4 linked regions of the Drosophila melanogaster genome follow. The protein of the gene in region 3 interacts with the protein of the main gene of each other region in a pairwise test. Each region holds a gene or a part of one and is shown on either strand. Other genes may lie near its edges.

Region 1 (4,949 bases), on a different chromosome or scaffold from region 3:
TTGGCTCACAGCACTCTCGCCCCCCCCACACACCTGCCACGCCCCTTCTGCACTGGCACGCCCGCTGCCGCCCAGAGCTCCCCGCTCGGCGCCCTCCGCCCCCCTCGTGTTGTTGTTTGTTTTATGTGTTAAGTGCGCTGGGCCCAAGCGCGCAAATTTCTTCGTGTAACTGATGCTGACGTTGACATCGCAGCCCCAAGCGACCCCTTCATTTTTACCCTCCGAAAAGCCCCAGAATTATATATATATCATATATATATTTATATATATATATAGCTCCTACGTACATACACATATATCTGAATGCAAGAGGGTGTGTGCGCACAGTCGAGTCGAAAATCTAGTTACAATTAAAGTGACAAGCTGGCAACGCCGAACACAAAGTCGGTCCCCAAATTCAAACAAACTGCGGTCGCTTTGATCGTCCTCATGCGGGAGTGATTAAAAAAATAAGAAACAAGGGGGAGATTTTATAAGATGTCTTTTAGAATGAATTCTGACATTTTAATATTAGTACTTGATTTGTATGGCGTAGTTATGCATAGTTATACGAATGCAAGTTCCCTGCCAGAAAGCATTTTATATTATATATGCTGATGCTGGTTATTCATTGCTGGAAAAGAGTTTATTTTCAAAACGAAAATCCGAAAATCACTTTCATGCTGATATGCGGGGCATGAATATTTTGCCAGCTTTTCCATTTTTCAAGGGTCTGTACATTTAAGGGAAATTGGAACTTTTACGGGTTTAATTACCAGAAGATTGGAATGTTTACACCACAACCCCTTTGCTATATGACATTCGATATTTGGATAAACAGTCTCGACTGTTGTAGAAATAATACTGACTATTTGTTTTTTTTTTTTTTTTTTTTGTGAAAAATAAACAACATATTTTCTGGAGTAATCTCCGGTTCATGCCACCCGCTGTTGCCTTGGATCAGATATAAGCATCCATTTCGATTCCAGTGAATTAAAGTTATTCTCGGACTTAAGCTGACCCCGTCCTAGCAACCTCCTAACCGCCCGACATCTCCTTCTCATCGTGGACTGCACTTGTTTTAATTACTGCCCCTGTGTTGATTCCCCAGGACCAAAAAGACCAACTCAAAGTGAATTTTCCATTTGGGGCTTTCGTTTGTAATGTTGCTTTCGTTTGTTGTTGTTGTTGTTGTTGCTTTATTCGTGGAGTTTGTGTGTTCAGAGGTCGTAGGTCGTAGATTGTGGGCCGTGGGCCGTTGGTCGTGGGCCGTGGCTAGCTTAACCCATTTCTTAACCCATTCAGATGTTGTCGTCGTGAAGGCGACGACGCTGCTGCTGCTGCTGTCGATTGATATTTCTGTTTGGACGGCGACGGCGTTGCTGTTGTTGCTGCTGACGGCGGTGTTGCTGCTGTCGCTGCTTGTTGTTGTTGTTGCTGTTGTTGTTGTTGAGGCGTCGCCTGTTGTTGTTGTTGTTGTTGCCAGGGCGACGACGTCTCTGCTGCTGGCGTTTCAGGTTGTTGTTGTTGTTGTTGCGGTTGCGACGACGACGCAAACTGTTGTTGCCATTGCCGTTGCCATTGCGTCGTCGCTGCTGCAACTTCTGTTGCTGCTGTCGCCGACGGCGTTGCTGCTGCAGCCTTTGCTGCTGCTGCTGCTGCTGCGGACGACGGCGACGTCGGCGATTGTTCTGCTGACCCCTGGGATGGTTTGACTGCACGGACTGGTGGTCTTGGTCCTGCTCCTGATCCTGGTCCTCAGCTGCATCCTGCTGCTGCTGCTCCTGTTGCATGTCCTGCGATTGCTGTTCGCCTTCGCCATCGGCATGATTTTTCTCAGTAGTAACCTCGACGCGATCATCCTTCAAGGGTTTGACCTCGCCCACGCGCACATTCTTCACCTGATCACAGGGCACATCGCTGTAGATCACCACGTTGCCATAGTTGCAGACAATCTGCTCCTGATCCGCCTGGCGACCCTCGATGGAGCCAATGGAGCCCCGTTTGTCCTCAATCTCGTAGATGTTGCCGGATTTGGTGATGAAACCGGTGACCTGCAGCGGCTTGCTGCCATTGCTTTTCGGAGCTGCTTCCGTGAGTTGCACTTTCTTTGGCGGAGCATTCACAATCATGGGCTTCGTGGGCTTGACCTCCATTTTGGGTGGAGCACTCGTGGAGCTCGTCAGCGGCGCCACCGTTTGACCTTTGGCATCACGGAAACAAAAAAAGGGGGGAGACACATTCATATACCTTCAAGTTGCAAGGAAAACAGGGCAAAAAAATTTACCGCTCACCAGCGAGAGGTCGCTGGAAAGGGCCGTGGCCCAAATCAGGACCAGGATCATCCCGAATCCCTTGCCGCACATCATTATCTTAGCTCTTGTTCGCTTCTCGATCGACTGAATCGCATTTCAAGCTGCGATCCCGGGTTATATTAACTCTGTGACTCTGTGGCTAACGGCATTTCGACCAGAATCATTTTTCGGCCTCTTTCGCTTTGGGATTTTTGCATAATTAAGTCTGCGAGTTCAAAGCGTGTCAGCCGGAGAATGGTTAGGAGCGACCCATTTAGCCAGGGCGTACACTGTACCAAAATCATAACTAGTTTATTGTGAAAAGAAACAAAAGCTATGCAATGCGTTCTACGGGGCTTTCTACGGTTCATGTACCAGTAATTTAATTAATACATATATTTTAATTGAAGACAAAGACAAAGTTATGCTAAGATGCTATGATTTCTTTCAGTTATCTAGTGTTAATTCCTACACCACTTCCGCCACTTTCCCCTCCCCAACGAGCAGAGTTCAATGGCTCAAACTAATTAGCATTCATATTTCTTCTTCGATTTTCGCCGCTGTCCAAAAATTCTCGTCTCTTTGCGCTTGGTTTTCTCATATGTTGATTATGCAAATTGCTTTCTTGGTCGGCAGCCCGCATTTTCAAATTGACCTCAAGCCAAAGCTGGCCAACAGCAAAAAGGTGTTCAACTATGCAGAAAAGCAAAAGAAAAAAAAATATAGAGAATAGTGAAGCGTGTTTACTCGAAGATCTAAGCAAGTCGAATTAAATACAAACATAATTTGTTGGGCTGGAAAGTTGTGTTTCGTGTTAATTTTTGATTTCCTCCGTGCGAACTGCCCGTGTAAAATTGGCTGTTACAGCGTTAGATATGTGGTTTTTTTTTTTAAAACGGGTCTGGTTTTATTTTGATTTAGCTCGAGCTTGGCGGCTGTGTGTTTTTTTTTAGAAATAATAATTAATCTTTATAAACGTGTTTGCCAAGCTAAGAAGTTAGGCGCGACTTGCGGTAGATACAACAAATAGTTTGGCTTAATCAGGGAAGCAAAAGCATACACAGATATGCATATGTATATATGTAATTTATGCTACGAAAAATTGACTTTCTCCTTCCGCAAAATATGAATAAAAAAAAAAAACTTTTCCCGTTTTCAACGATTTATTTTGACGTATGCAGTGCTAATGTACAGGCAAATAAAGCTAAAATCGATTACAAATCAAATTTGTTTGTACTTTCTACTATTTCGTTGCTTTACTCGTTGGAATAGAAACGATAAAAAAGGGAAAATCTAAACAAATTTGATTAGATTTATTCGATTTCATTCAGAAAGCTGCCGCGTCGGTTTTTCACGTGCTCATTTCATGTTTAAATCCATATTCAAAAATCTACGACAAAAATGAATACTTTTGTATCAGCGCATATTTTTGTTTGTTTTATACAGCATATGGGTTCATTAGTCTAGTACAAAACATAAGGTACGCTTTTAGTCGAATCGAGGTGGATAATACTATGCTAACTACTTCCTTACTTTTTTTAAGGAAACTGTTCTTAATCAGAGAATAGTATAGCATTTAAATTTACATTTTGATATTATAAAAATGAAGCAAGAACGTGTGCTTTTTATTTAAAGATCCATTTTATTGGCATACTTTTTGATAAATATTATAAAGTACACTAAAAACAAAGAAAAAAAATGTAAAAAAAAAGATTTATTGGCACATTAGTTCTTCTGCTTTTGGTTGTAGTTTTTCAAGGCCTCGGCCAGTTCCGATAGTGCCGATTTCTGGGCCTTCTCCTGCTTGCGCTCCTGCTGCTTCTTCAACTGCTTGCACAGTTTCTTCAACTGCTTGCGCTCCTTCTTTGCCGATTTCTTCTCGCCACTGTCGTCCTCTTCGGACGAGGAAGATCCACCCCGCTTCTTCCGGCGGCTCAACTCGGCACATTGTTGCAGCAGCTTGGCGGCCTCATCATCATCGGGCTTTGGAGTGGTGGTCGTAGTAGTGGTTGTGGTGGTGCTCGGGGTGGTGCTGGGAGTGGTGCTGGGAGTGGTGCTGGGAGTGGTGCTGGTGGTGGTGCTCGGGGTGGTGCTTGTGGTAGTCGTACTGGCAGTTGTGGACTCTGACTTGGGCTTTTCCGTTGTCGTCGTCGTAGTCGTAGTGGTTGTAGACGACTCTTTAGGCTTCGGAGTCGTCGTGGTGGTGGTGGTTGAGGTGGTGGTGCTCGGCGTAGTGCTCTCCTGTGGCCTGGCCAAAATCGTGGAGCAGCTGGCCACCAGCAGCAGGCCGAAAAACAGTATGGAAGCGCGCATTCTCGTCTGATTTGGTTTCCCTCGACTAGACAACTAAATGGAGATCATCGCCTGGCGTTTGTTTATATAGACGGCACTTAGCGCGTTTTTGTTGCCCCAGCCCCTCTACCCCCCCGCCCCCCCTTGCATAAGATGGGCGTAGACGGTACGACTGGTTTTTTTTTTTTGGTTGGCCGATAGAAAAACGTCTATAAATTGTCATTATACATTGAAATTTTTTAAAGCAATTCTGTAGTTTTCGGGGGTTTTTTGGTGATACCCAACTTTTCAAGTTACCGAGTCCATAGATATTTTGAAAATCTTTCAAATTAATGCTATGGTATTTAATACGTTTTACTTTATATTAATGTACTAGTAGTTAAA
Region 2 (7,808 bases), on a different chromosome or scaffold from region 3:
TCCAATACAATCCAATACCGTCGACGGCACGACCCTAGCTAAACAACAAAGCGAACTCTTTATGGAACATCTCCAGTCGGCTTGGAGGCTATAAAAAATGTATTAAAGCCAGTCCAGTCGCCCCCACAGGCACACATGTACATACATATAAATAAAATGTGTCGTATGGACATATAGAAAATGGTGACCTTCTCGCTTAATTAAAAGCGACAACTGCTCGTCAAACACGCTCATGCCCGAGCTCTAGATAAGCAATAATTTTAATGTCTTCGGAATGTCCGAGAATCGTAGGACCTGGATCGTAGATTCTTCCAAATGAATCACACCGATTTTAATCAAAAGGTGGTAGTAGTTCGCCAGGGGGAACTGCGTCGGATCAGGCTCTGTTGGGTTATATTGCAGCGATAAGGTCCATTGCAGCGATAGGGAAGGTGCTCGAACTCGGCTCGTAGTGCTCCATGAATATTACTAGAAAGCAAACAGAGGGGAGTCGAGTCAAGTCGGGCAGAAGATATCCACTACCCTTCCCGCTCTTTTTGGCCAGAGGGATCGGGCTGGGTTGTGCTGGACTGAGATGGGTTAGTCAGTGTGTCAAGTCCGGGCGGGAATGGGTCGGTATAGGACGGTATGGGATGGGCTGGGATGGGTCCCATGTCCCATCCTGGTTGTTTGTTTACCTTCTTGTTCCGTTGCAATTTATGAGTGCACGGCGATAAGGGTTTATCGTGGCATGGTAGTGGTGGAAAACTGCACTCTGCATCTGAGTGACGGCGATAAGATAGCGACTCCTGGAACTACTCAGCTCAGCTATCGGTCGTTCAATTCGAATTCGCTGCATTGATAGCGTCGATAGCGTCGATGGAGATAGTCAGCCATCCGGGCGGCCCAATCAATATATAAATGATTGTTGGAGGTCAGTTGCTTGAGTCAACAAAGGTTGGGAAATGAAAACTAATTTATGGTACTTTTTTTCCTTTTTCTTGTATTTCAAACATTAAAATAGTCGATTTTGGTTGTCGTTGACGTTGTGTTTGTTTTGCATGATTTATAATAATATTAATTTTACTAGCTTTAGAGTTGGATTTTAATTCTTGCGTTGACATTTATTGAATTTTATATTGTGTATTTTACAATAATTTTCATTTGTTTCTGTGTCTGTCAGTGTCAGTATGTGTGTGTGTGTGTGGGTGTTTATATTTAGACTATTTTTTATCAAGTTTAATTAATTAGCTTAGCTCAATGTAAAAATGGGTCTTTGTTTTGTGTTTGCAATTGGTTTTTTATTTTTCATTACGCACAATATAACTAATATTAAAAATTATTGAATAATAATTGCAGTTTCGCTTTTTATGTGATTTTTTTTCATTTTTGTTTTTTGCTTTCATTATTTATGCTAATTAAACGTTAAATGCTATACAGTATTTATATTTATACTATGTTTACTTTCAAGTGGTGTGGCATAATTTCATACAATTTGATTAATTCTCGAGTTAGTTAAAAATTGGTTGCTTGCAATGGGTCCTTAGTTAAATTGGGTTTCTTGGGGAGGGGGTTGCTTAAATGTATCTATTTATAGATTATTTACAAAATGCCTTAATCTAACGAATTCGTACAACAACAGAAGACACATAATGTAAATGAAATGCGGGATTTTGCGATACATGGGCGTATATCGATGCGCGTATATATAAATGGAAATTTGTTAAATTATTCAGTTAAAACGTGTCGTTTTCTTATGCATGGCCAGATTTTGTTGCTTAGATAGTTGAAGATTCTTAGGGTTTTGCTGGACTGCTCAATATGATGATTTCGGTTTTAGATTTCTTTTTGGTTTTGATCTTTTGCGATTCGAATTCGATTGCGATTGCCTTTGGATAAAGGGTTTAGTATTTGTATCTCTCTTTTTGGGACTGTTTCATTTGGGGCTTTGTTTTATGAAAGAACATTACACACGATCCCTTCTTTACATCTCCTCTCCTCAATCTTCTCCTTAATCGGATACATTTAAAATGTGATTTCAAATTTTCAGTTATAACCGCTTTGATTGTTATTGCTTGTTTCGAAACAACGAAAACAAATGGCACGGAATTATTATTTTGTATTTGTATTAGCAAAACGTAAAATTGTTAACAAAAGTTCTGCTGCACTTACAACTACATCACGGTTTCTTTCGCTCCTCCTCCTCCTGCTCTATGTCGATTTAATAACCCCCCGGAACAGAATCTATATAATCTACAATATATAGTACTGGAACTGAACAACACAAAAGGCAGCGCTCTCGATCGGCTCTTCATAGGTATCTCTATATGTACAAGTGCGAGTTGCGGCCCAAGACTCACGTGCTCAAAGGATGAGGATGCGAGTGCGGATGCGGATGCGGCCAGGTGCTAAAAGCCACCGCCACTGCACTCGCTAATTGGCAGGCCCGCTACAAAGCCGCTGCCTGTGGAGATCGGGATCTATAGCTATAGCTACAGAAGATTCTGCAGAGCGGCGGCTCCATTGAAAGCCAGGCCGTGATTCCAATTTCTGTAGCCTGCCGCCGCGGCATACTGCTGATAGTTGTTGTACAACTGCTGCTGGGCGGCCTGATGCTGCTGCAGTTGCTCCTCGCTCAGATCGCTGGTGATGTTCGATGAGTCCTCCTGCAGTTCCTGCAGCAGTTGTTGCTGCTGCTGGTGGTGTTGCTGCTGCGCCGCCGCCTGCTGTTGTTGCTGCTGCTGGTGCTGCTGTTGCAGCTTCTGTGAGTAGTTAGAGCCCGATCCTGAACCCGATCCTGACCCAGATCCCGAGGCCGAAGCCGATCCCGCCTTGCCGCTGGCCTTTGCTGATGTTGCTGGTGTATTGGAAGCGGATGTCAGTTGCTGCGCCGACTGCTGCATCTGCTGCTGCTGCTGATGCAGCTGGTGCTGCTGCTGTTGCTGCTGGTGTTGCTGGTGCTGCTGCTGCAAGTGCTGTTGCTGCTGCGAGCGCAGCATCTGCTCCGCGCGTCCTTAAGCCAGCGGGTATTGGTGATGTCACAAGCTCGTGGTTCCGGCGGGCGCATGGTAGCCAAGACTCTGGTAGTAGGAGTCCTGGCCTAAGGCAGCGTGTGAGTTGGTCAGCGGACTGAGGGCGTTGTAGCCGGCGTACTGGCTCATGTCGTACATCTTGATGTCCGCCTTGGACTCCGTGGGCAGCAGGCGGTTGATGGAGAACGGATGGCTGGAGGGCGTGTAGCCAGAGGGCTCCTGCTTCAGCGGATGCATCGACGAGTGGTAGTCGGTGATCAGCGACGGATGGCACCGATTGGCCATCATCGCCGACAGCTCCTCCTGCTGCAACTGGTGGTGCTGATGGTGGTGATGTGTGGGCACATGCTGCGGCTGCTGGCTGAGGCACAGTTCGGCATTGGCATGCAACATGGCCAGGGCCTCCGCGTCCTTGCTGTGCGCTGCACTCAGGACATTTACGCCGGCGATCGATGCTCCGCCCGCCTCCTTGTGGTGCTGATGATGGTCCAGCCGGCTGTGGTGGTGGTGGTGCATGTGGTGCGAGTCCTCGTGATCCTTCTTGCCCGGACTGGTGGCCTCCAGGCTGCTGTGCGACGGACTCTTGTGCAGCTGCCTAATGGCCTCCTTCTTCTCGTCCTTGAAACGCTTCTGTCGCCGCAAATAGCACCCGTTCTCGAACATATTCCCCGAATCCGGATGCAGAGTCCAAAACGATCCCTTTCCTGGCTTGTCCGGCGTCCTGGGAATCTTTACGAAGCAATCGTTGAAGCTCAGCGAATGTCGAATGGAGTTCTGCCAGCGCTGCTGATTCTGCCTGTAGAACGGAAACAGATCCATGATGAACTGATAGATCTCCGAGAGCGTCAACATTCTGGTGGGGTTATTCTGAATGGCCATGGTGATCAGTGAGATGTAGCTGTATGGCGGCTTGGCATGCGTGTAGCTCCTTCTGTACGTAGTTGGTTTGTCCACCCGCGATCTGCCTAGGGAATTCGGCGATCCCGTCTCCATTTCCCGGGATCCCGGCGGCATGGCGCCATAGGTGCCGCTCAATCCCGCCGCCGACATACTCGCTGCCGACATGGCCATGCAGCCACCCATGTTCCCGAGCGGTGATCCCATGCTGGCGTAGCTCATCGAGCTGGGGGTCATGCAGTTGCCGCCCATTGAGTTCATGGCCGCCGCACCCATGCTGCCGTTCATGCTGGCATTCATGCTGGCGCTCATACTGGCACTCATGCTGGCGCTCATGCTGGCGACCGCCGCCGCCGAGTCCAGGACGCTGGAGCTGAATGTGGCCGCCGCCTGAGGGGAAACCGATGACATGCCACCCACCGGCAGGCCCATGCTGTTCATTGTGTAGGCGGATCGAGCCAGGGGACTCATGCTGCCGCCGTTGCTCGTCGGATTCGGGTTGTTATTGCTGGGCGGTGGGGGCCCACCGCCTCCTCCTCCGCCGCCGCCTCCACCGCCGCCCGACGGAGGACCACCGCCACCCGAGCTGGCCATGCTCACCGGAGCACTGCTCGGAGGCGGCTCCGCGTAGAGCTTCTGCATGATGTCAATGGTGGTCTGGTGGGGGCTACCCTTCAGAAAGCTGTTCAATAGTTGCGCCGTTATGTTGCCGGCTTTCGGAGGCGCTGCCCTCTGGTGGATCGATGGAAAAGGCAACGCGTTCTGCAACGCGTTAGTTAAAACGAAAATCAAAAAGGAGGTCTTTAAAACGTGGCTTTACTCTGATATATTGTATATCAACTGTGATTTCAGTGCACTATCACTGCTTCAATCGGTTTGCATATATCTGGCATTTTATCGAGAGCACTTCGGCACTTGTCACTTGTTGGCTGGAAGGTTCTGATTCCGTTTGCGATTCTGATTCTGATTCTAAGCTTTGTTTGTAAACACACACCGTGGTTTAATTATTTGTGCGGGATAATCATATAAAATATATATTTATTTTCTGTTATGATTCGATTCTTTTTGTATTTTCTTTGTATTTTTGTATGGGGATTTTTGTTGTCTGCCGCACCGAGCGGCCACAAAACACCGACGCACGAACGTGAATATCTAGCTGGCTGTTGGCCACTGAAGTCTGAAGCTGGGAGTTGTGCTGTGCTGTGCTGCTGCTTTTGCTGCTGCTGCTTTTGCTTTTGCTGCTTTGGCTGATGCTGCTGTTGCCGTTGCCGCTTTAGCTGCTGGTCCGCTCGAGTGTCTCTTTGGCTTGAGCTCTTGAATGTGACTGTTTGCAGAGGGGAACGCTTGTCTACTATTTGGCTTGCGCTTGCTGCCAACAAATATTGTTCGAGCCGCGCTCAAGTGCCTCGGCCGACGTCGGCGTCGACAGCGGCGGCAGCGGCAGCAGCGACGCGCCCGGGCAGCACCAGCTCCGACTCGTTCTCGCCAATGGCCCGGCGGTATAGTGCGTCTCACCACCACCCTGGCGGAGTTACCAATGACAGGCGGCGGTTCTCTTACGTACACAGTGGTGCTGCGGCGCAAGCGCATTGGTCGGTTGGCCTCTTGTATCAACAGAGCAGGGCCGGTTGCCAGGCAACTGGCCATTGGGGGGGCGTGGCCAGGCCGCAGTCAGCAACGCCCTCCACTCACACACCCTCAGCGGTGCGGACAGAGATACACGGGCAGAGATACCGGATACGCATACAGCTGCAGATACATTCGCAGTGGCCTAGCCTAATGCTGAGCGACGCCATGTTACAGTTAACGATTTTCCCTAATGCGATCAATAATCGCTCGCTCTCCTTCTCGCCGTAGCGTGCTATCAGAAAATAAAAAGAAAAAATGTGGAAAAAAAACCATTAAGACGGGTTCTGGAGACCGAATCTCTGGGGAGACTGAGAATGCGACGACGCTCTGTTTTTCGAGAGAAACAAAAAGACCGAGTGTTTTGGCCTGGCCTGGCCTGGCTTGGCTTGGCTGGGTTTGGCTCCCAAACAAGACATTTAATAATATCTGTGTGTGTTTTTTCAGCCAGTTTTTTTTCGTATCCGTACCGCTTTTTCCCTTTTGAGGTTAAGGTATGCCAATGTCACTCTCATTCATTCCCATTCGCATTCGTGGCGAGGCATCGCGAGCGGCAGCAGCAAATCATCAGAACAGCGGCGCAGTTCACCTTTTTGGCAAGTCATTGCGAAAGTGACCCAGTTCTGCATCTGGCCAGCATCAGCCGCATCTCATCCGAGCATCCCACTGCATCCTACCTAAGATACCCGAAACATAAGCATCCACAGTTCATTGATAGCGCGTGCTGGCAGCTACTTCCTGGTATCCTGGCAATTTATCCACGTTTATGGTCCCGGATAAAACGCATTCTAATTTCGGGCCATAAACCATAGACGCCTTTCCTATTCCGCTTAACCCTTTCGCTTGGCCAAGTGTATCTGCGAGTGCCTGTGTGTGTGTGTCCGTGTGCGAGTGTGTGCCAATCCGTGAGAGTGTATGTGTGTGAGCCAGGCTCATTATTGCGTGTCATAAAAGGACGATTGTCTCGTTTCTCAATGAATGTTTTGCTCAATTAAGATCTACCTGAGCGGGAGGAAAAGCGGGGAATTTCCGCATTACTTTTCCATTTGTCAATGCAGCAGTTCTTTCTCCTCTCACTTTTTTGTAGCCTTCATCTAGGCGCTGAGACATTGAATTTTTGAAATTATCAATGAAATGTAATGAAACATTTCGCTTGTGGGAGAAATCACATTTTTATGATCGCCCCATTTCCGAGTAATTATAATGACTAATGACTTATGTCATATAGAGCCGTTTCCCCTTCACAAAAGCACTACTGAGTAATATTTTTATCATATTCAAGATTATCTTCAAATTGTTTGAATAATTGTTTACAATAACCATGGGTTAGATAAGATTGAGAGATAAGCGAAACTGAATCAGGAAAAAATCTTTCGCTCAACAATGGTATTCATAATATTTAACCTGTTTAACATTGTTTGGCTTGCCACTCGGATATCTATATCCCATCGTGATGATCATTAAACATCAAACACTTTCGGTGACTGAGCACATATGTACTCAAATCCTTATGTGCACTTCTAATAACCGTAATGTGCTTAAATATTTAATATTTTTATTGTATTTCACAGGCAATTCAAGTGGCTTTGGCTCATTAATGTTTGCCGTGTGGGCGTTGGGTTGGTAGGTATTTTTGTTGTTCAGAGCGCATCAAATGTGTGCTTTTTTGGCGTAGACTCTCTGCAAATAGTAATGCCAGGCAGTCCAAAAATGTGTACTTATTTACCTTTAGTCATTTATCTATTTATTTATTTGCTTTAAAAGCGCGCCACTGTAGGTCGGATTCACATGGCGATTTACATTGCGATTCGGATTCAGATTGGCTGCCTTTTTGATACAGTCGGATGTATTCGGCTCTAAGCCATGGTCAAACTTTTTAATTAGTTTCAATTGTTGGCGCCCAACGCATCCCCAAATGGTTATTTATGGAAAATATTTGCTTTACTACTTTTTTGCCGCTTTGTTTTGATTTTCGTTGATATGGCTTTAAAATGCTGCGCTTTCTGTTTGTTTTAAGCATTTATGTGACGCATGCGCCGTGTGGCAATGACTTTACAAAATCATATACATATATATCAACCGGAGAATTTGACCAACATTTCTCAGATAGATGACGTCCGCAGCTGTATCTGTTTCTATATCTATATCGGCGTGGTGGCATAATACGAATAATATTTATTTTTATTGTTATTATTGGTTATTGTTGATTTATTTGTTTGAACAATATTTTCGCACAAATTAAAATGCCCGGCCACCATGGGACATCGGACGATG
Region 3 (4,825 bases):
ACTTACAGACACACGAATGCAAGAACCTGGCTACGAGTCAGCACAAGTTCGGAACAAAGACTTATTTGCAAAGCTTGAATAGCACCAAGAAAGCCGCTGCCTTGCTATGTCCTCATATTCCCCGAGATGCACCCGGTGCGGAAACAGTAAGCTTTGTTACCATGGCTCCACCGCCAACAGAGGAGCAGAAGCTTTTGTACTCCAATGTGGGCTCGTCGCAGGGCAATCAGCCAAGCTTGGAACAACAGCCAACTGGTGGCGATGACTTTGGTTTGAACAAGATCACCCTTACGTCCATGGATCCCGACGATATTATGCCGAATTTGAACGGTTAGTACTAATATTTATTTTCCTAGGAATATTGTGGTTTAATATTCGCATTTCGTTGACAGATCCCCAAAAGTCTACGGCCAGTGTAGATGAAATCAAATATGCTTCAACGCCCAGCTTCATGCTACTTACAACTATCGTTTTCTTTACCTTCCTTGTGGGTGGAATCGCAGGAATATGCTGTGTGAAGGCTAAGAGCCGCCTGATGGAGGCCCAAATGGATGAAAGTCACCGCAATCATTTCGGCAAGCCAATGTAAGTTTTATCTTGGAAGATGCAAATCCATATTGGACAATTCTAATTAAATGGTTTTGACAGGCAATTTAAACATCAAAATACTGGCAAAGACATCAACCTGTTAATGGGCTCCAATGCCTATACGACCACACAAAAAACACCTAATCTGGATTTAGAAAAGGATCGCAGTCATGAGTGCAAAAACTCCACGGAACATTTGGAAAAAGAGCTGCCCTGCAAAACGTCAACGCTGACAAAAGTGAAACGCACTTACATCTAGTGGCCTTGTGAGGGCAGCCAACTGCAAAATTAGTCGAATTTCTATACTCTAAAACATATTTTCGTTGTTTATGTTGCTGTTAGTTATAGTAACCCCCCACCCAATTTGCGAATAATGTAAACGACAGTCTCGGATGCGTTTGAAACGCATCCGAAAGATAGGAAGCAGAGCTGTTGCGTCTTTTTTACTTAGCTTGTATTGTAATTTAATTTGATGTAAAATTTGCGTAAGCTTAGTTTCTTTGTCAAAATTTAGTTAAATTTATTGACAACGTAGTGTGCGGGCTGCCGCAGCCTGGAGCTAACCCGAAGCATTCCGCATTCCCCTGACGTCGACCTTTGCTGTCCAAAATAGGAGTGCCGGCTCTTGGCTACGCAGCCCGATTGTGTCGCCCCTTATGTGTACTCTTAATGTATAATCTTTAAGTGCAAATATTAGAGCTGTACAAATTTAATCACATATCATGCATACCGAAATCGAACCCGAAGCGGACCAGCCCCAATTATTTCTCGAAATTCAATCGAATATTCAACAAGTATTTTGTTAGACTGAATGATTAATTATTCTATATGAGTTTGTTTTGTGGAGAACTAACAGAATGCGACAGAGACTTTAAAGCTCTATGCTTTGTGGCTAACAAAAGCGTAAAATTGTATCTAACATAAGCTCTATAAGGAATTGAACATAGAATGTAATTAAAAGTACGAACTAGGCTAAGAAACGAAGAAAACTTCTATGAGGCTGTTTGATAAGAACTGACACCGCAGCCCCCACATCATCAGATGGAAAAACGCACAAGAAAGCGAAAATAAATGAACACTGCAACAACAGCAAGCCTTATAAATAGTATAAAATCGTGTCGAATCTAGGCCTTAACGCTAAACTTGTAAGCTTTGGATGGAAATAATGAGCTTGGTTGGCAATCAACGTAAATCAGCATTTTAATAATTTTATGTTTAATTTCTAAGCTGTTGTCCGTCCCACTAAAGAAGTTGCATAAATACAATGTACAATGGCAATTTTATTTTTAAAACGTGTAAAATGCAATTTTCATCGTAATTAATATATTTTTATACGTATATGTACGCCTAATGTCTAAATCTTAACATAAGAAAGTCTTAAAAATGGAAAATCCCGATAAAAGCTATATATAAAATATTTTTAAATCTTACAAAAAAAAACGTAATGTAATGATTTCTCATATTGTGATAGATTTTATTGAAATTTTAGAAAGATGAAATGATATGCCTTTTGGTTGAAAAACAATGATATATATGACGAACGAGTCTGATTGCATGCATGATAATATTGCGTAGGAATGGGTCTTCCACTCGGAGGATCAAGAACCAGAGAAAACCCTTCATGGTGTTTAGTTTTTATTACTGTGTATGTCCTTGTAATGTGTATATTGTTGTATACATCCGATAAGCAATTCGTAAATCTAATAAAGTCGTCATTTTTTTCATAACTCAATGTGGTCTTTTAATAGGTTCGGATCTATGAAACATTGAATTTTTACAGCAAATATGGTTTGGTTATATTTATTGAAATCAATCATTTTTCCAATAAAGGCTAATTTCAAAATTTGAATAGTTTACGATAAAGCCTTTCGCGCCGAAAAATGATCGATAACTTCTGATATGGCTCTACAATACATCAGCCTCGTGATTTTCTGAATAAGATTCAACGGTCACACCAGGCACTACACTTTTGGCGTGTTGCACATTTCAGTGTTTAATTAAAGTAAAAAGCCCAGGTCGCGGTTATATAACAAAATGAACAGCCTAAGGACAGCAACCATGCGATTTGCCGCTCTGGCCAGCTCCAGTGCCGGATCTCTCGGCAAGCGCGATTTCACCCGCAGCCTGTGGCACATGACCAAAAAGCCGGTGACAGCCGGAGGATCCGATCATGTAACCGTGTTGAATCTCCACAAGCCCAGCATTAATTGCACGTGCGGCTGCAACGTGCACACCAAATGTAAGTTAACTCAACAAATTCTTACATGGGCGGTCCATGCCGCCGGTTACATAACCTCAAACGTTGGGTGACGAAATGTTGACCAAAACACAGAAAATTAAACGCTTTGTTTATATCCAGGTGAGCGGGAACTGGTGGAGTTCCTCACCGAGGAGATAGTGGCCGAGCGCAAGGTTCAAAAGGGCAAGACGGTGCCAAGCACCCTGGATGGATTCGCCGTAAAACTGACCGGCGCCGATGTGGAGCTCACCAAGCAGACGGATAAGGAAAAGGTGGTGGTCAGCTTCAATGTGAACCATACGGTGGACAGCGAGGAGGAGCCCGAAATCAACCCCAATGCTGACAAGCCGGATCTCGGTGAAATGAGAAGCAAGCCCCAGTTCGAGGTGGACATCATAAAGGGCAACTCTACGCTGTCCTTTACCTGCAGCTTCCTTCAAGGCGAAGCTCAGGAGGGCGAGTACAGTGAGTACTTTGACAGAAATCGTTTTGATTCACCGATAACACAGGTTTTACCTTTCAGACGATGTCTTCTCCATTGATGAAATGGCCATCTTCGAGGGCGAGTGGAACGATAAGGTCTACGCCGTCGCAGGCGACGTGCTTGACGGTTACTTGTACGACTTGCTGATCAACTTGCTGGAGGAGAAGGGCATCAGTCAGGAGTTTGCCGAAAAACTGTCGGACCTAGCCACTGCCCATGAGCACACTTCCTACATTGGTCTGCTGGAAAAGCTCTCCAAATTCACTGCCGGTGGCAAGTGAATGTTCGTCCCACTTAATCTTAAAGCATAAAGTTGTGTAGGTTTTTAAGTTTCTATTGTCTGCTGTCGCAGTTTCATCACCTAAAACAGTTTTTATTAGTTGTGTTTTTGGTTTAACTGTGACAGTGAAACTTAGTTTTTAAGCCATAAAACATTCATACATGTTTCAGATAAAACTATAGAAACGGTTGCCAATAATTCACCCTTTTCGGCATCAGCTTCGCTTTGGTTTTTAACAAATACAACGTTAATTCCCTAGTTTTTTTTTTTGTTTATTTTCTTTCTATGGTTGCATCGATTTTTCGTAAAGATTTTCCTGTGGGTTGAGTTTCGTGATCATTTAGAACTGCCGGAAATATGGCCTGGGATCGTAGTCACTTGGTCGGTATCCTCCCCAGTCCTCGTGGTTCTTGCAGGCGGCGCAGATGAGGAGAGCGAGGAGCACGAGGATTGGCAGCAGTTGCATCTTGATTAACGGCAAGTTAACTTTAGATTGTGGTGCTGCAGCTTTTAATGCTCCTCTTTATAGGTGAGATTGCCTCACCTTATCGTTGAAATAGTGACCTTTCTCTTGGGGAAGTACTCCGATCTGTTTATTGGGCGATGGGATTTACCATTAATGTACGACCTATATGTGTTATTGTTTCACAATAAGCAGGATTATCAGCGTGGAGGCCATGTAATGTCATACTTTGTCATTAAGATGGATTTTATATATTTCGTTAAAAAGCTTTTTTTTATACGACCAATAATAAGAACTGCGACCATTACCTAATCATAGGCTTGTATATACTTCTAAGAAACTCAAAGACGGATTCTGTCTGAATATAACATTTTTTATAGTTCGCTACTTGAACTTATTTATAAAACATTCACTAAATAATTTACATAAGGATACGAGTCATGGAACTAAACCAAAGCTGCTTCTGGTACTTGGTAGACCTAGGCTGTTCCTCCACTCTGGTGTCGGCGCTGATTACCGGTGAGGTCATTGTGTCCCGGGTTCTGGCCCACTGTGGATTCAATGCCGTTGCCAGGATGCTGGAGCTGCGTAACGGGTCAACTTTTTGTCTTGGGTTGCGTCTTTCCGCCGGAACTACTCGCATTGTCGTACTCCGAGCCGGTGCAGTACTCAGATCCGACCTCCCGCAGCTCAATCTTTTGCTCCCTCATGGCGCGCTAAAGGTCAAAGATTGGGTCAACCAGCTGGATGATGAAACTTGAAACCTGGGCT
Region 4 (5,092 bases), on a different chromosome or scaffold from region 3:
GTTAGTAAAACCGCCACACAAGCTCTATTTCGTTACCAAGAGTATTTACTATTAGGTACGTAACTTCATTCTTGTCTAGTGTATTGCATTAACTACGCTATTTGTGACCGGAATACGTGATATATCAAAAATACATTTGTTCAAAGCATGGTGAGCCGAGAGGTCCAAGCTCTATCGATACTGCAGCTGCAGCCTATCCAGCAGAATGTCGATGGCCTCCTGGTCGAGTTCCTCGTCGTTGGCCAACACCACGTCGAAGCCGTCGGCCAGATCATCCAGATCGCACTCGGAGGGAACATCGTCTATTCCTGCGGTAAAGGTCCATCCCCGTGCAGACCGCGTTTCTGGACGGGATGTTAGACGCAAGGTGATGACTCGTTCCGGCCCGTAAGTCTCCCGGAACCACCTGATGTCGTTCTTGCGCCGCACATCGCTGACCAGAATGTAGGGCGTCTGCTGGCGACTCAGCGCCTCCTCCATGGCCACGCGGCAGAAGTAGCCGTAGTCCTGGGCCCGCACCTCGTCGCTCCACACAATCATGTCGCGCCGGTACTTCTCCTTGTAGGGTCCATCACCGAGGAGAGCGTCCAGGTCCAACTGCAGCTTGCGAGCCCATTCCGACTTAATGGGCTCTGAGATTCGAACGATACACGACCGGGAGCCCAATCTGGAATGGAATTGGATTTTATTTGTCTGAATATTTCTGCAGCAAGCAGTGCAAATTTAACAAATTGGCAAGATTTCTACGACTAGCTATGCACTGCACCCACCTCCGCTGCAGCCTCTCGGATATGTAATCCTTGCCGCACTTTCGCTTGCCGCTGATGAGTACAATTTTCATCATTTTTCTGGCGCAACTTTCACTTTTGCTCGCCAACTTCTTTCACAACCGCTGCTTCTCCTGCTGCTTCTGCTTGTGGCCTCGATTTCCTAAGTTCTACGCTGTGCTCATCAGATACTGGATGTGGTTGTGTTCACCCTGGGCCCTGCCACTTGACTCCGGCACTGCGGCCTGTTGTGTTTATGCTAATGCTCCATTCGAAGTCTGTGCTCCAAGTCGCATTTGTTTACCTTTTGTATTTCGCTGGAACAGCAACCAGCTGGAGCGTATCGTCATCGATAGGCGGCCAATCGAGCGGGCTTTTTGAATTTCATTCAGCTCGAGTGGAAACCGTACCGTCATCGATTGGCCGCCAATCGGGCGGGATTTTTGAATTTCGTTCAGCTTGAGAACCGCAAAGGTATTCATAAAATTGTTATCCTGATTTGTTCGCCACGATAACCACTTCACTACTACATTAAGAATTAAGTTTAGCCCAAGCTTTAAAACCGGAGTAGCATTTATTTTTTGGTTCGGGTTGGCCTAACCCCGTAAAATATCTTTAATAGTGTTCAGTTCAGCTTAACATACACTTGTTCACTTAATTAAAAGCCTGCGTGCCTGCGTTAAAGCGTCTACCCTGGTTACTAGCCCCTCGCTTTCGTCCCCCTATCTGTAGTATTGCGACTGCTGCCAGTTGCCACTCGAGCCACCAGTTGGCGCGTCGGTGGAGCCTCCAATCAGGGCACCTGGGCCAACAGCGGAATGGCTGCCACTCGGATTGGCGGGCTGTGCTGCTGCTGTTGCCCCACCGCCGGGTGGCCCAGAACCCGGATTCCCGGCCGCACTGCCAAAGGAGGCGAGCACGCTGCTGTAGTAGGAGGCATCCGCCACCGACTCGGACTGGTGGGGCGTGCCCTTCTTGAGCGTGTGGTGCAGCGAGGCCTTGCCCTGGTGACATTCCTGCGCATTGGCATTGTTGATCCTGGTCAAATTGGCCAGCGTGAGCGTCGAGTGGCCGCCGTGGATGGCGTTTTGGGCGGCGGCGGCGGATCCTGGTGGCGGTATACTACCAATACTACCGATGTTACCGACACCGCCGGTCAGTGGCAGCCGCGACAGGACGGGACGGGACGCAATGGAGGCGGAAACGGATATGGGGACAGACGACTCGGAGAGCTGCAAGGGGCAAGCGGTTGTTTTTTTATAGACAGGACAGCTTAGTTTAGGAGCCATAGCTACCACTCGCCTTGCGCTGCTTGTGCAACTCCAGGCCCAGACCGACGCCGCCCAGATCCGTCATTTTTGGCTGCTCCGCCATGGCTGACAGCTGCGGCTGTGGCTGCAACGGTGGCGGCTGCGGCGCCACATGTCTGTGATTGATGTGCGCCTGCAGGTCGCGTTGCGAAAGGTATGTTCTACGGCAGCCGGAGCTGCCGTAGCGACTGCCGCCGTGCGTGCACATGAACACGGTGCCCAGGCCACTCTGCTCCACGCGCAACACCTTGTCCGTGCAGCGGGGACAACTCTTGATGGGCTCGGCGCGGGCGCACTTGAGGCAAAATACATGCTTGCAGGGTATCATGCGGCCGTAGACGAGGATCGGCTTGTCGCACTGATCGCAGCAGTGGATCATCGGGTTCAGCACCTTCTCGCCGATCAGGCTCACCTTGTGGTTCCACTTAAGGCGCAGCATCGGCTCCGGCGGTCCGCGCGAAAGCGTGGTGAAAGTGGGCGCCTCCAGTTGCGATATGTCCGCCTCCATGTCGACTGCGCGGGCGAGAGATAGCGAGATAGCTTTGTTCAATGCTTCAAGTTTGGATACCAAGGAATTGGTCAAGCCAAGATGTTAATCAATTTAACTATCTTGGACAACCATTCAATAGGGGAGGAGACTCACTTGTTTGGCTCATCACGGGCGGTGGCACTTGCTGCAGGACCTGTGGCTGTTGCGTCGCTGGAGTCATGTTCCCGCTGGCGGCGACCGCTCCTAGCGCACCGTGCGGCAGGGGCTCCTCCAGAGCGCCGGGCGTTTCCAGTTCGCCGTCCTTGTCGAGCTCCTGCATGACCGAATCTTCGGAGGCGTCCAGTCTTCCCGGACTGTCCTCCAGGGCTGCACAGCTGCTGGCCGCCAGGGCTGCGGCGTCGGCGATGCTGCTGTCGTCGATTTTCTTGCCACGACCGCGTCCTCGGCCACGTCCGCGCCCGCGAGCCCTGGTGCCACGCCCTCGTCCGCGGCCGCGCTTCACTTCCTCGGTGTCCATTGTTCACTTGTACTTGCGTGGGATTTTATGCCGGTTTTTAAGTTTTTCGGTTTTTGTTTAGCTCCGCATTTGCGTTTGGCCAGGGTTGTCAGCTGTTCCCACATACGTGCAGTAACTTAGGGTGACCAGTCTGCGCCTAACAACACTGGCCATCAAAAGGTCCGGCATCACTGGTCAGTTTAAAATACAATATTTTTACTTGTTTAATTTTAATTTTATCTGTTTTTCAATTATTTTTAAACTAATTTGAATTTAATGAATGTAAAAAAAAACATAAAAAAAAACAATAATTATAAGCATCTATTTAACCGTTCTTGTATCATATTAATAGCTTACTAATTTCTTTTGTAGCTTCAACATGAAAAAACAAAAGTATTCTGAATAGAAAATGTGAGATCTACATTAAGATAACCTTAAAAACTTAATAATAATTAATAACAAGGTTTAAAATTAGTTTTTTCGTATATAAATTTGAATTTGTAAAATGTTTTTTTAATTACAATTAAATAGTTTTTATTACAAGTTATATTTTTATACTATGCTTTAAAAAAAATGATTTTTGGTATTTGTTGCCTAAAAATATCGTTTATCCCCTTTCCTTATGCTTTAAATTGCGCTCGAATTTATGCAATAACTGAGTTGAGTAGTTCTTCAGCTAGAAATCGGGGTCATTCACCTTGGGTGCAAGGTAGTATCGAATGTGGCCGTAATCCTCGATGGGATACTCCACCAGGAGTGGCCGCTCGTCGGACAGGTAGAGCTTGACGCGATCTGCCAGCGGAGTGGCCTTGGTGAAGGTGTTGAGGTAGCGACCGGCGAAGGACTGGGTCACGGGCTCCTGCACCTCAATGCTCACGTCCATGGCGGTGCCCGCACTCAGCTGAATGTTGGCCGTGCCCAGATCTCCCTTGGCCAAGAACCTGATGCCCTTCGAGGAGCAGGCGATCGTCAGGGACTCGTCGAACATGCTCATGTCCCGGCAAATGCGCGCGAACTCTGACGACGGCAACTGGATGAAGCAGGTGTAGTCCTTTTTCGGAATCTCCATGTGATCCTGGTCCAGATTGAGGAGCTTCAGCTCGTAGTCCGCCGTGCGCTCCTTGCCATCCGACTCGAAGCTGAGCGTAATCTTCTCCGGTCTGTCAACGGCCTTAATGGTGACCGCATCGTCGCTATTGGCGCACTTAAGCACCTTGCCCAGGGATTTCAGATCCAAGCCCAGCGAGACATTGCGATCGCAGTGAAACTTTTCAAAACAATCCGAAGCCAGACTTAGGGCCACCAGCGAAACGTGGGAGTTGTCCATCGATTGCAGCTGGAATATAGAGTTGTAAAAGCTTTATTTCTTATCTCAACTTTTCATTTTCAGTCCCAAGTCTCAATGGAACTACTTAACAGCTTTTATGGGAATTCGAAACAAAATGACAGATGGAGGGTTATTCTCTTCACCTCCAGACCATTTTCACTGCAGTCCAGCGTTCCCTGGGCGATGATTTCCTTTAGTGCATCGACGATCTTCTTCAGCAGCAAAGTCTGACTCAAACGCGCCTCGAGCATTTTTCCAATTTTCAAAATTGACAATCGCTGTCCCGTTAAATTCACAATTGGAAACAAACAAAATGAAGCCAGTCAGCTGTTTCGCTGCAAGTGTAGAGATGCCGGACTGCTGCGGAGTTAAGAACAAAGCTTGTTAGATTAGTTTCGGTTGCGGATTTAAGTTCATTTGATGTCTGATGATGAAGCTAGTGAACATAGATCTTAGAATTTGACTTAAAGCTGTAGGTTAATCCTTTTCTATTTAAGGGTATCCAATTGAAATCACTTAATCCGACTGATCTGGCAGCATCTGCAACACTGGTTCCGGCTCCAGTTCTAGTTCGAGATCCAGTTCCAGCTCGGATCCAGCCATCCAATCCAATATGTTTACGCTTTATTTATTTATTTGTTTATTTATAACCAACTGCTGAGCTCCCCGATGGCCGCCGCGCAGGTGGAGATGCACGCTGCT

What was found.
Region 1: the proteins of P32 (region 3) and CG14418 interact in a two-hybrid assay, tested with the Drosophila melanogaster proteins (one large-scale study listed by BioGRID).
Region 2: the proteins of P32 (region 3) and fkh interact in a two-hybrid assay, tested with the Drosophila melanogaster proteins (one large-scale study listed by BioGRID).
Region 4: the proteins of P32 (region 3) and Hakai interact in a two-hybrid assay, tested with the Drosophila melanogaster proteins (one large-scale study listed by BioGRID).

What each region holds. Positions count from the first base shown.
Region 1 is NC_004354.4:2,881,286-2,886,234, forward strand, and holds CG14418 (uncharacterized protein), read right to left. Parts: upstream 2,377-4,949; 5' UTR 2,349-2,376; coding exon 2,267-2,348; intron 2,183-2,266; coding exon 1,281-2,182; 3' UTR 941-1,280; downstream 1-940. Other genes in the region: CG14419 (uncharacterized protein), read right to left, coding at 3,999-4,586.
Region 2 is NT_033777.3:28,580,004-28,587,811, forward strand, and holds fkh (fork head), read right to left. Parts: upstream 5,262-7,808; 5' UTR 4,551-5,261; coding exon 3,018-4,550; coding exon of another isoform or gene 2,472-3,017; 3' UTR 973-2,471; downstream 1-972. UniProt on the Drosophila melanogaster protein: Fkh promotes terminal as opposed to segmental development. In the absence of fkh, this developmental switch does not occur. The nuclear localization of the fkh protein suggest that fkh regulates the transcription of other, subordinate, genes.
Region 3 is NT_033778.4:17,670,332-17,675,156, reverse strand, and holds P32 (P32), read left to right. Parts: upstream 1-2,516; 5' UTR 2,517-2,622; coding exon 2,623-2,827; intron 2,828-2,947; coding exon 2,948-3,292; intron 3,293-3,350; coding exon 3,351-3,592; 3' UTR 3,593-3,848; downstream 3,849-4,825. Other genes in the region: Sema1b (semaphorin 1b), read left to right, coding at 1-330, 393-585, 649-847; IBIN (induced by infection), read right to left, coding at 3,932-4,057; CG30109 (uncharacterized protein), read right to left, coding at 4,651-4,770.
Region 4 is NT_033779.5:19,579,287-19,584,378, forward strand, and holds Hakai (hakai), read right to left. Parts: upstream 3,189-5,092; 5' UTR 3,085-3,188; coding exon 2,721-3,084; intron 2,618-2,720; coding exon 2,070-2,617; coding exon of another isoform or gene 2,046-2,069; exon of another isoform or gene 2,000-2,045; coding exon 1,490-1,999; 3' UTR 1,326-1,489; downstream 1-1,325. Other genes in the region: Pmvk (phosphomevalonate kinase), read right to left, coding at 172-667, 771-844; PCNA2 (proliferating cell nuclear antigen 2), read right to left, coding at 3,740-4,399, 4,534-4,641; CG10366 (uncharacterized protein), read left to right, coding at 5,060-5,092.